2 linked regions of the Caenorhabditis elegans genome follow. The protein of the gene in region 2 purifies or fractionates together with the protein of the main gene of each other region. This does not show direct contact. Each region holds a gene or a part of one and is shown on either strand. Other genes may lie near its edges.

Region 1 (6,620 bases), 1.9 Mb from region 2:
TTCAGAGATGCATTACGTTTTCCGCCGTTTCATTAAACGAATGGGAGTCAAAAACTGAAAGATTGGTATCATCTCATCGATGAAATTGACAGAAAATATTCCACACGAGTAAGCTTCCCAAAACTAGAAATAGTTACTATATTTTACATTCTGATAATAGATTTTCCAATTAAAATTTTAATAATTTATTCTTTATTGATTACATTACTCAAAAACATAATTATCCCCGACCACGAGAGCTTTTTAAAACTTTGACCAAGCCGGACTGCTTATCAACTGCCGACCGGCAATTCTACAAAATCAGCTAGTGATGCTCTCTCTTTAATTAAAATTAGTAGTTTTAAAAGAAAGAAAAAATGTTTTCACCATCTGAAAATAACGTTTGTTTGATTTGGAACAACTGAAAAAGAACTCAAAAAACTAAGTAAGTAGGTTTTTTCCTGCAATTTTCAGCTTTTACACAATTTTGAGCACTTCTTCAGTTGTTTCAAATGAAACAAACTATATTTTCAGATAACGAAACAATTGTTTATACCTATGTTGTACTTTTTTGATTTTTTTACCAATAGGAATGCGTAAAGCATTTTTTTAAAGAAAAAGTCAGTCTAAAATCACAAAAAATTGAAAACTTCAATGAGGAATGATCTTTCGAATTTTATGAATTTTATGTTCGTTGATGTTTTCTTCTCAAAACTGATTTCTTAACTGTCTTATGTTCAAATCGAACACATCCAGACGTGTTCCTTATTCAACTAATCGTCATTATCCAGTTTCAGCAATGAAGTGTAATAGAGGGTGAAAAAGGCAACATCTTCGACCCGGTTATCATCATCAGCAACCCTCTTGTTTCTTTATCACCTCTATTTCTTCATTTGCCAGTGTAATGCACTTTTTCATCGATGGGCCACCGCCGACGGATCACGGCATCCGTGGCATGCATTCCTATCTCTTCAAGGATTCCCTTCCTCTTTCCACCCGCCAATAATCAACAACTTAATTTCTATTCAGACCGTACCTGTTGTTCACCTCATCCCGATTGATCTTGTCGCCAATTATCATTTTGTTTAGTTGTGTGTTGGGGAGATGGCTATACCTGAGAATTTGAATATTATGAGGGCAATGATAACGAAGAAAGGAACACATATGGAAAAAGATATAAAATACATTGAATATGGGAGGAGGAATAATTATAATAGACGAAGATTGCATCGAGGTCTTGAAATTTTGATTTTAGTTATTCAAATTTCAAAATAACAGCCATCATTTTGTCGGTTTTTCTAAGAAATGGTCTACATAGTTAAAGGTCTATTGTTTAAATAAACATTGATACTCATTTTTAATTTAATATACAAAAGTTGGAGTTTCAAAATTACAAGATTAAACAGTGGACATGGACGAAAATTGCAATCCGTGCTCATTACACTTGAAAAGCTTTTTTGAAACTTATATTAGTAAAAAGCTAGGTCCCGTACACCATTTGTAGGTGCAAATTATCTCAACTCAAATCAATCACAGGGAAAATCTTTTCGTACAGACATGAATTTTGTTCATTAAATTTGAGCCTACACCCTTTTTCTGATTGTAGCTCCCAAATGACGTGTGTGAACAAATTAAACCCTAGAACTCTGTACCATATTAGTTACAAAAAAATACTCGTTAGAATTGTCAATATGATTTTAGGCTTCTATTTGCTTCAAAAGGTCAAAATTCTATCACGTGCTTCTCAAGTCTGACCCAGAATATCTTAAAACTCTTGCTGATATCGTATCGTTTCCGCCTAGGTAAATCCACTCTCGATTTTTTATTCAAAGGATCACATCACAATGAAAAACCCTCGCACATTCTCAATATCCAATCATTAGACGGAAAAATGTGGAAAAATGCCGAAAAAATCCAGTTAGCCATGTAAATCGCGAAGGTTGATGATGCATCAAACAAGCGGACAACATTGCAAAAACTCGATTTTTTTCTCGCTTTTCCCTCAACCCATTTTATCGTTATCGACACCAGTCTCCTCATTGCGAGTGCCTCCGCCCTCCGGATGACTATTTCGGCCCCTTTCCCCCATCTTTTTGTCGACTATCCACAAATGTACAAATACATGAGATTAGATGCGTACCTTTCATCAAATTTATCCGTGATTATAACTTTTGTCGTTTTCTTTTTACTTTTTCTTATCACTTGTCCGTTCATGGAATTGGATATGAACGTACACATTTGTATTACGCAACAATATATTCTACATGTACCCGTTCCATAAGTGGTGATTATTTAGAGAAATTGTCTAGAATCTAGAACTATTAGTCACGCCTTACTGACCAGATTTAAGATACTAATGAATAAATGTGAAAGTGGTTTGATTTATTGGCATGTTTATGCCATTCACACGTCATTTCGATTTTCCCTATAAATTTGTATTCTTTTTACTATTTTCTCACATACTTATTTTTTGCTTATTTATATTTTCTGATTCCTACCCAATTTCAGAAGACATGAACCGGTGCATCTTGCTCGCTCTCTTACCCCTTATTTCAGCGATTCCAGTTGCTGTTAATATAGATGATCAAGACGTAAGTTTTTTGTTTTAGTGGTTGAAAAATAAATAGAGAATTAATTATAGGCAGTGAATTTGGGAGCTTACGATCGAGCACGATTTGATCTCGTAGAAAGTTTCCACCCTCTTCAGCCAGCTTCTGCAGTTACAAGTAAGTGAAATGTTTGCCTGGTGGAATCAATAGATATAAATTGTTTTACAATTATTTTTGAAAATAGATTATTGAAAGCATGGCACTAATGAAAAATTTAGTCTGCCGGCTGTGATAATTAATCACTTTACCGTATGCTGACACTGTAGGCAAACATTTTTACTTTCAATTTTTAGGAGAATGTCTCTAGAATACCTAGCGAGCTTTATGTAGGCACAAAATTTGTTTCTGTTTTTCAGGATAGGTTTATCACAAAATTTAAGGTATTCATTCATGTTGTTTAGTAACATTCGTTAGCGGCTAATTTTATTTTAGAAAAACTAGGAGAATGTAAAAAAACACAAAAACACCGGAAAATAAAAGATTAGGAAACTAACTTACTTACAAGGGGAATATGATATGAAATTGGCGCGGAGGGAAAGCTACTAGTTCTCAAATCATTTGAAAGTAACTCGACACCTACCTGAAGCTAAGGGACACGCTGGCTAATTGTGAACAAATATTGTTCAAAAAATTCAGTCTCATACAATTGTTTGTCAGCTTTTACTTGTTAAAAATATTGGCATGGGATTTAGTTTTCGGAGAAAGAAACACAAATAACCCATTTTGTTGAATCGTTTATTTAAGATGCCGAACACTTTTTGAAATCTTCGAGACTGTAATTATTTGATAATATGTAAACGGTCAAAATGTTTGATTTGGTTAAAAATGAACATTTTGGTGTTTATCTTAATTTTTATAAAGGCATATTATTTGCGACATATCTAGTTTTCTAATATTTCCAAGTTCCTGAAAAATGAACTGTTCTGAACGAAAAAATATTCTTAAAGGTAGATATATTGTTAAAAACAACTGCTATGATGCTAAAACGACCATTATAGCAAAACTTCCATATATCATATGAAAACTTTCCAAAAAATTTTTTTAAACATTTTTATTGACAGTCAAAAAGTGGTAATTAGTGAGTTTTCGCTACTTTTTGATAAAGTTTAAGCATTATCAAAATTTTGAATCCCTTCATTGCTTGGATATTAATATTTCAAACATAAGTAGACTGTATGTAGAATTCGAAGGAAAATTTTTGATTGACGAAATTCAAAAAACAAATGGCAAAAATTGAGATCTTCCCAATTTTTTAAAGTTTTTTGAATTTTTTATTATTATGATAGTTGATTATGGTGGTGCCACACTTCTCCATCTTTAAAATTTCAGTGCTGAACAATTCTTTAAAATTCACAGATTTCTCTAGAGTCTTTAGAGCAGAAAATAATTTGAGAAAGCACTGACGTATTATTGTCAAATGTTTGTCAATATTTTTACAGCCATAGAAAAATGTTTTAAAATCTTTAATAATGAAAAAATAAATAGTAAATTGATTTTATAAAATAGTGTGAAATTTTCAGACGATCAAATTGCTGAAGTGCGTGCCAAAGCAGCTGGTGTGAGGCAAAACGAAGCTTCAATTTCAATTGACTTGCCAACACAAATGCTTTCCGGGAGTTCGGGAAGAATTCCAGAAAGTAAGCCACTAATTGACATTTCTCTAACACGTGTGACCATATCGGAGAATAGAAAACAACAAAAATCAAGAATTATCACATAGCTGTGTGAGCTGCTCGGACATGGCTCCGTGAGAATAAGCGCGAAAGTCGTAGAAATAGACACGTTTTAACAAAATTACTCTATCGGTTAAAGAAAGCTTTGGAGCAGGGCGTCTAAACAAAGAAAGAAGGAATGGAGAAGAAGTAGGCGGCTTTGGAAAAATAATAGAGAAAAGGACGAATATTTTAAAATATTATGAGACAAACTAGGGGCGCAGGGGCAACATTCTGAATTTTTGATTGAAATTTGACGACTACTCGGAATTATCTATTAAATGATCTTCTATTAGTTATTTAAAGGATTAGTTGTTATTTTTGACATTAAAAAAAATAATCCAATTTTTAGTTTAAGAACTTGGAGAAGACTACAAGTCAAAAAAAATCGGGAAAGAATCTGCAGGGTGTGTCCTCACAGAAGATTGTTGTTAATTAGTAATCTTGAACTTTAAAATTTAAGGATTCAACCGAATCAATTTTGAAATTTTGAGACTTTTTGAAGATGGATTTTTTTGTAAGTTTGTATTATAAATCAGCAAAATCAGATTGGAAATATGTTGAAGTTTTTTTGCAACTATTTTAAAAAAATTTGAGTGGAAACTAACTGAAAAATAAGAAAAATAATTAAAGCTTATACTAATAAAAATAAAAAAAAAAAACCAAAACCTTATTTTCTGTTTAAAGTTTATCAAAATTAGGCGAATTTTATTGAATTTAGCCGAGAATTACAGACAAATTTAAAAATGAAATAATATTTTGAAACCTACTTTGGGTATTTTGAAGTTTTTATCCCAAAAAAAGAGACTTAATTTAACTTTAAGAAAAAATCACGATTTGAAATGGAATCAACGAACAGCTCTTTGGCTTCTCTATATTGAAAATTGTAGTTAACAATTTTCCGAAAACGGGATTCGTATTTATCAGAATCATATTTCTTATGATTTAGTATAATTTCTTGGAATTTACTATCAAGAAGAATACAAACACTTTATAAAATATTTATGACAGAACTGAAAGACGCATATAATATGAGATATAAAAAGAGCTAAACATGAAAGATGTATCCACTAGTAGCATCGTGTCTAATTCGATTCGATTTGCAAGTTTCAATATTTTGTTGTTGATTCCCTTGAGAGATTTGAGAGAGTCTATCACATTAGAACATTAATCTGTTCTTATCTCTTTTTCTCTTAAAATAATCACTTTTCAGGATTGGCGTTCGGAGAATGGACTGAGTGGACTTCATGGTCAATGTGCCAAAATGGAGAGAGATCAAGAGTTCGTACATGTGTTTCCAGAAAACCAGCTCTTCGTGTTGTATGCCACGGAGATGCTATTGAGGTGAGATTTTCCTTTTATATAAAATTATTCAGTGATAAGTTCATTGAAATTAGGTGGTTAACCAAAAAAGTTTTCCGCGGATCATATTTCTCCGAGTTTATACAATCTGAAGAGCAATTTTTGATGAGAAGCTTCATTTTTTTGTTGGTTTTTTGTAATAAATTTTTTTTGCAATAATTTAAAATCTGAATTATTTTCAACACGGAAGAAATTGATTTCAATTAATGTTTTTACAGATTGAGAAATGCTACGTTGACGCCGGAGAAGGTCATATTCCAGTTGCCGCCGACCCATGGTCCATCGAACGTGAGATTAGCGGAGATTTTGCCTAAATCCGAACAATTTCCGAAGAGAGGAGCACAGAGACCTCTTATTTAATAATTCATTCATTTTCTCACAGTCAGTTCTCGAATTGTATGCACTAATTGTTATTTTCGTTTTCCAATTCAATCTAATAATAATTTATTTATTTATTGTTTTTTTTTTTGACACTGCAAGAGAGGTCTCAAATGGGACCTACAGGAAAAATTGAATCGGTATTAATTTTTCAAATGCTCATTAATGGGAATAACACAATAATGACAATTATGAGAATTTTATTATTAATTTGAATTCACAAATTGTTATTGAAAATTTATAAGTTTTGTTGAAATATACTCACTATCAAAATAGTAAAAACAGAGAAAATTAAGGCATTTGTCATGTTTGAACCCCTAAAATGCTTAGGTACAATATTAGAACATGCTTCAACTATTTTTAAAAATTCAAAAATGTTCGAGCAGTTTTAATATTAAAAACAATGCAACATTAAGCAAATTTTTAGAATAATTTCTCCCCACTACTCCACGTTAAATTTAAAGTGAAATTTCAAAATTTGACTCAAATAAATGAAACTCCTACATTTAATTTTAGAAAGATCATAATTGTTTGAACGAAGTTCAAATTTTTCAAAACATTTATTTTCAAATTTCAGAAA
Region 2 (5,880 bases):
GAAGTGGATGATCAAGTTAATCAAGTTAGGAAAGCAAATTAGTCACGAAAAAAGTAAATATTATTTTGGAAGAGTTCACACAACTGAATTTTTTTTTTTAATTTCAGTATTTAACATTTATGATATGTAAAGTCTAAATACCAAATGAATTTCATTCAGGGAGAGGATTAACTACTAACTAGAATAATCTCACATGTATCACATTTAAAACATAGTATTCCTTCTCATTCATTTTTTAGGACGATCAAAATCTTTTTGCAGCACATTAGTTATTCGATTAGGATTTCTATTTCCAATTTTCAATCAAAGATCCTTCCAATCCACGAAGACGAGTTTAGCAAACATGTGAAAAAAAGAAGAGGCGTTTGAGAATATTCTTGGACAGAAAACGGAACGAATTTCTAATTATTCAAGTTTCTCATCAAACTTTTGAACACAAAAATGCAACTTTCAAGTTTGCTCGTGAACTTGCAATATGAAGTTATAGAGTACTGTAGTTGTTTTATATAGATTTAAACAATTTAAATGTCAATTTTTGTTTTCTTTTTCTGATAAGAACATCTATCAGTAGATAAAATTTTCCTCTTTGGGTCACTTGGGGACTACAACTTGTAAGCGCAACAGCGTAGAGTGACTGGTGGAGATGAAACTATGGTGCGCAATCGAGGTTAGATCTAACTAGGAAAGTGTGTGTGCTCAAGAAAAAATAAGGAAAAAAAACACATATTTAACAGAAACAAAATTTATTGTATAAAAATTTTTGCCAAACCAATTTTTGAACAACTCCGCTCGGCGGTGCCTTCCGGGTGAGTATTGAAAAGAAAACAATGAGTGGTGAAGCTGCATTCCAAATAATAAATAAGAACTGAAATGACTAGACGAATTGAGGTGAAATATGAACACGCATGAGAACAAATATATGTCAGTTCCTCAATAATACCTAGCCTATACGTTTTATTTTCTGGTTTTATGCTTTTAAATACGATATATCTATTAATTATTGCCTATCTGTTTGTATAATAAAAGAATAGTATTAAACAAATTAAAGACCAAATAGTTTATTTTTGTAAACTTTGTCGTCTGGAAACATATGGCTAATCAAACCAAAATGATATTGAAATAGATGGAGACGTTGAGCGTACGAAATGCCACCATTTTTCAGGAATAAATATAGCATCTCCAGGATTTATGACGGCGTCGAGGACTTCCACTTGTTCAAAGTTTGGGAATATTTTGAGATCGGGATTCTCGACATCGACCTGGAATTCGATTTAATATTACTGGAACACATAATTCTGAGAATGCGTATTGCGCAACATACTTGACGCGCAAAATATCTCGTAGCGAAAACTACAGTAATTATTTAAATGAATACTGTAGCGCTTGTGTCGATTTACGTACTTGAAATCAATTTAAATCATTTATTTCTTGATAGAATAAAATTAGGCATAACATAAAACAAAGAAACAAAGGAAAATGGAACAAGAAATTTATTGAAAAAATTGAGCCCGTAAATCGACAGAAGCGCTACAGTAATCATTTAAAGAGTTACTGTAGTTTTGTTGTCAAATATATTGCGCAATACGCATTCTCAGAATTTCGTGTTCCCATAATAGAAGTATCCTTACTTGACTGGTATTTGAAAGTATTCCATCAAATGGATACACTGATTCTGAACTTTCAGGAGCCACCATCCGAAATAGTTTTGTACCATGAACTTGTACAAACATATTCTTTCTAGGATCTGTATGGAGTGGAGATACAGTATCCTGTGGCCCAATCCACATATTCATGTCAACATTTTCAGGATTACTTGATTCCCCGAAGCAAACATCTGGAATTATGACGTCACGTTTCAAGTGTGGAACCTGATCGAAAAGGCGATGTTGTGCAAGATAGAGCCGTTCATTCTGAAATGTACAGATAATTTTAATATGATTTTTGAATATCTAACTTCAGAGTTTCTAATAAATTCCTTGAACGTCATCAACTTTTGTGACCAATTTTCATCTGAATATTTGGTTCCAATTTCCACAGGAAATGTTCGACTGTGAAGTTCTTGAAGTAAAAATGGAAATGACCATTTTTCGATGGCAGGCATATTGGAAGAATGTCTCCGAACAATCAGTGGTGTATTATTTTGAACGGCAGAAATTAATTTTTCAAAACTATTTTCATCATCTTCATCACATTCATCGATAGATTTGGAATTTGAAAGTGGAATTAAGGCAGGATATGTATTAGTTGTATTGAACTGAAAACTCGAATGAATCCAATCATCAGATGACACACCAGGTAAATTTTCATGAATTAACCATGCTAGTTGTCGAATTGGAACAAGATCTTCGTCTATTCTACCCATACACAGCCCTTTATCGGCAATTTTGATCGCAATCTGGAAATTTAAATGTGAGATGGTAAATTCAAGAAGTATTAATTTACAAACCTCATACTTGTTCTGTTTAAACATCATGAAACTCTGACAGAAACATATCAAAGAATACAATTTTCTCCAATTCTCATCAACTTCATTGAAATGTCCTGTGTTCAGTTTTGTATCTGCCAATTTTAGTAGAAACTCAGACTGGTCGACTATTTCTTTTGAGAATTCTGTGTTTCCATTTAAAAAGTGATCGACATTCGTACTAAAACGTGAGAATAAATTTCTGATTAGTTTTGAAACGACTTGGTCATCGAGATGAATTTGCAAAATTCCGAAGTTCCATGTATCTAGATCCTGAAAAGAAATAAAAGTTTCAGAAGAGTGGAATGTTTATTTTGACAAATTAAAAATCACATTTTTCAAATAATCTCTATGAACACGTATTTTAGAAATAAAACATTAATAGTTATTGACCTCTAATCTCTGCTTGAACGCTTCAATTTTTGGTAGCATTGCTGGACTACGAGCGTCGTAATCTTCATAGGATGGATCAGCCTTTTCCGATCTGAAAGATAATTCTGAACAGCTTTAATCTTACAAAAAAAATTACTGGTTCTTGAGGAAAGTATCAATTGAAATCGGAGTTCCCCAGAAGATTGTTTGATGTGGAATAAATGTTCCATCTTCTATCCATACTTTTGAGAGTACCGTGAATCTGAACAAAACATACTAAAGTTCAGAAAAATCATCTGGTATAATTACCCTAAATTAACATATGCTTGCAGAGCTGATACTTGAGCATAGGCATAAACTGGAGAATTCGGACTTTCACTTTGTGCATAGATCAACGCCTCTCGGATGAGATCGGACGCGATTCGTCGTCTTCGGAATTCCTACAAAATAAATTGTAATAAAATCGATTTAAAAAAAAATAGATAAATCGATTTGAAATTTATAATAGATTTATTACTTTCAGAACAGCAACTCTTTCCAGTTTGAGCAAATCTTTTTCGATATTTCGAAGGCGAACACATCCGACAGCGAGATCTCCTAGGAAAAATAACATTAAATTGATTAATTTCCTATATAATTATTACCTTTGAACGCTACAAAGTAAATAGAACTCTGTTCTTCATTCTCATCCCATTCCATGCTCTCCGGACAGTTTTGCTCTTCGATAAATACTTTTCGACGAATGTTGAAAACTCCGTCGCGACACTCGTCAATTTTTAATCGTTTATATTCCATCTAAACTAATCAATTTAAATAAGTATTTTTATATGAATTTTGTAATAAGAATTAAAAAATATTATCGATAATATTATCTACGAAAAAAAGTTTCAGTTTTCGTATGGCAAACCAAAAAACCAAAGACCATTAAATAGTATTTTGTGGTTGAAACCAATTTGTAAAAAAGATCAGAATAACACCCATATATATTTTTTAATAATAATTCATAATCAAAACAACGGAAATTATTCCAAACCAAACAAAAAATCATGGACAACGGATTGTAATACGAGGAGGAAAAGAGACAAAAAAAATTTTCTTTTACAAAAACTCGACAAAACTCTATCATCTACAAAAAGGAATCAGGAAATAGGTTACATAAAAACTAAGTGAATTACGCCATTTTGGATTTGTTTCTTTTGTAACATACTTTCTGATTTTAAAGATTTTTCTTGTCCTTTTGGAAACAGACATATCACAAAATTAAACTAAACAAAAATACGATGATGGCTTATTCAGTAGAAAATGCACTAAACGTCTATTGAGCTTTCGACAAGCGATATATGGTCTTTCAACATGAAAGAAATAAAATATGGTATTTCTGTAGATTTGTTTATAAAGACGAGCACAGAAATCAGGCAGTTCTCTGATAATTGACTTGTTCTGATTGCAATACGAAGGAGGTTGAAGCAGTTGTGGAACGAGCTTTTTGTGGTTTTTCAAGTTTCTGGAAAATAATTGTATGTTCGTAAATAATTAGATATTAAATTCACTTTTTCTCCTTCATTTTCTTGATTATTGAGTTTCGTTTCTTCTTCATTCCGTTTCTTTTCCTTTTCTTCATTTTCTTTGGTTTGACGCTGCAGAACACGATCGTTTTTTCTCAAAAGCGCTTTCTCAGTGGCAGATCGTACTTCTCGTCCGCTACTCTCAATTTCACGAGCAGCCTTGTGAACTTGTCTCAAAAAATAAGGACCACCTTTGTTAACCATCCAATTATACACGTAACGAGGAATGTTAGCCTCTGGATTGTCACAATATGTTAAAATGTAATCAACTCCATGCGATTCCCAATTTGAATGAGCTCGAATTGACATTCTCGAAGTGTAGGATCGTACTCGGACATTTGACTCCGAAATTGATGGAAACACCTATTTTTACAATTTTATTCAAGATTTTTCGTAAGTTACAAATACTTACCTCAGGTTGAACTGATTCGCTATCTAAAACTGCATATTTTTCGTCTTCTGACACCCATGTTCGTCTTACATAAACATATTCTCTCGGATACATTGGATATGGAAACTTAGATACCCATCTGATCAGCTCATTTTCATTTTCTTCTTTGACAACTTCGATAGTCACAATATTGTCGTCCCATTCTTTTCGATATTTTAAATCATTTTGAGCGTCAAGAAATGTTCGTGGACTGATATCATAGTATGTCCCAACACATTTGTATTCATACATCTCATATGGACCATCAATTCGTCTACGGAATGCTAACATATCCTTCTCTTCGTAGAGCAACTCCCATCCTTTTCCAGGTGTCTTTCGATGAGCAAACTCCTCTTCACAGTTTTCACATTCTGCGATTCGATCATCACTGATTCCATGATCTCGAAATGTGAATCCGGCTGTAGATGCAGCTAGAGCAAACTTGCCGAAACGTCGGTCTCCACGGTAGAATGAGTAGGAGTACAGAACGCTAAAAAACAATAATTTGAATAGGACTGCCCTTTTTTATTTTTTGGCAAAAAATGGTTTTTATTTTGGTTGTTTTAAAAAATTTTAATTTTTTAGACATGTTTGAAGCGAAAAAAAAAGTTTTATTTTTGGTTTTTATTTTTTTTATTGAAAAAATTGAATTTTCGAATTTTGGACTAAAATCTACGCTTTTTTTTCATATTTTACAAATCTTCTTAAGCAAAATATGTTTTAATGGTTTTCAATGATTTTTTCTAAAAGTTCAAAATAAATCGAAAATCGACTTTTTTTGGGTTTTATGGTCACAAATTCCAATTTGTAGTTCTTGGTCCAAAATCAAAATCTGTTTTTTTGTTTTTTGGTAAGACTTTTTTGGTCCTACTTCACTCCATAATAGTTGACTTACGCTTTCGTCTTGAATCGTGACCAATTTTGACGGAAGTTTCGATACAGTGCAACCTAAACGTATTATAATTGAACACACTTCAATCAAAATATTGTTTACCTGTTTAAACAAAAAACTGCTCCAATTTCTGTTCAGCATATCTTTGTTTGATAAG

Evidence for each region. The genes of interacting proteins can lie anywhere in the genome.
Region 1: the proteins of jmjd-5 (region 2) and F15B9.8 fractionate together in Caenorhabditis elegans (co-fractionation; one large-scale study listed by BioGRID). This does not show direct contact.

What each region holds. Positions count from the first base shown.
Region 1 is NC_003283.11:12,986,069-12,992,688, forward strand, and holds F15B9.8 (Beta/gamma crystallin 'Greek key' domain-containing protein), read left to right. Parts: upstream 1-2,487; 5' UTR 2,488-2,492; coding exon 2,493-2,570; intron 2,571-2,620; coding exon 2,621-2,705; intron 2,706-4,108; coding exon 4,109-4,225; intron 4,226-5,513; coding exon 5,514-5,644; intron 5,645-5,880; coding exon 5,881-5,976; 3' UTR 5,977-6,116; downstream 6,117-6,620.
Region 2 is NC_003283.11:11,125,248-11,131,127, reverse strand, and holds jmjd-5 (JmjC domain-containing protein 5), read right to left. Parts: upstream 3,632-5,880; coding exon 3,481-3,631; intron 3,434-3,480; coding exon 3,354-3,433; intron 3,277-3,353; coding exon 3,146-3,276; intron 3,099-3,145; coding exon 2,994-3,098; intron 2,949-2,993; coding exon 2,858-2,948; coding exon of another isoform or gene 2,843-2,857; exon of another isoform or gene 2,764-2,842; intron 2,738-2,763; coding exon 2,447-2,737; intron 2,396-2,446; coding exon 1,955-2,395; intron 1,911-1,954; coding exon 1,629-1,910; intron 1,260-1,628; coding exon 1,095-1,259; 3' UTR 1,047-1,094; downstream 1-1,046. Other genes in the region: strt-7 (Phosphatidylcholine transfer protein), read right to left, coding at 4,248-4,340, 4,387-4,764, 4,814-5,321, 5,727-5,779, 5,826-5,864.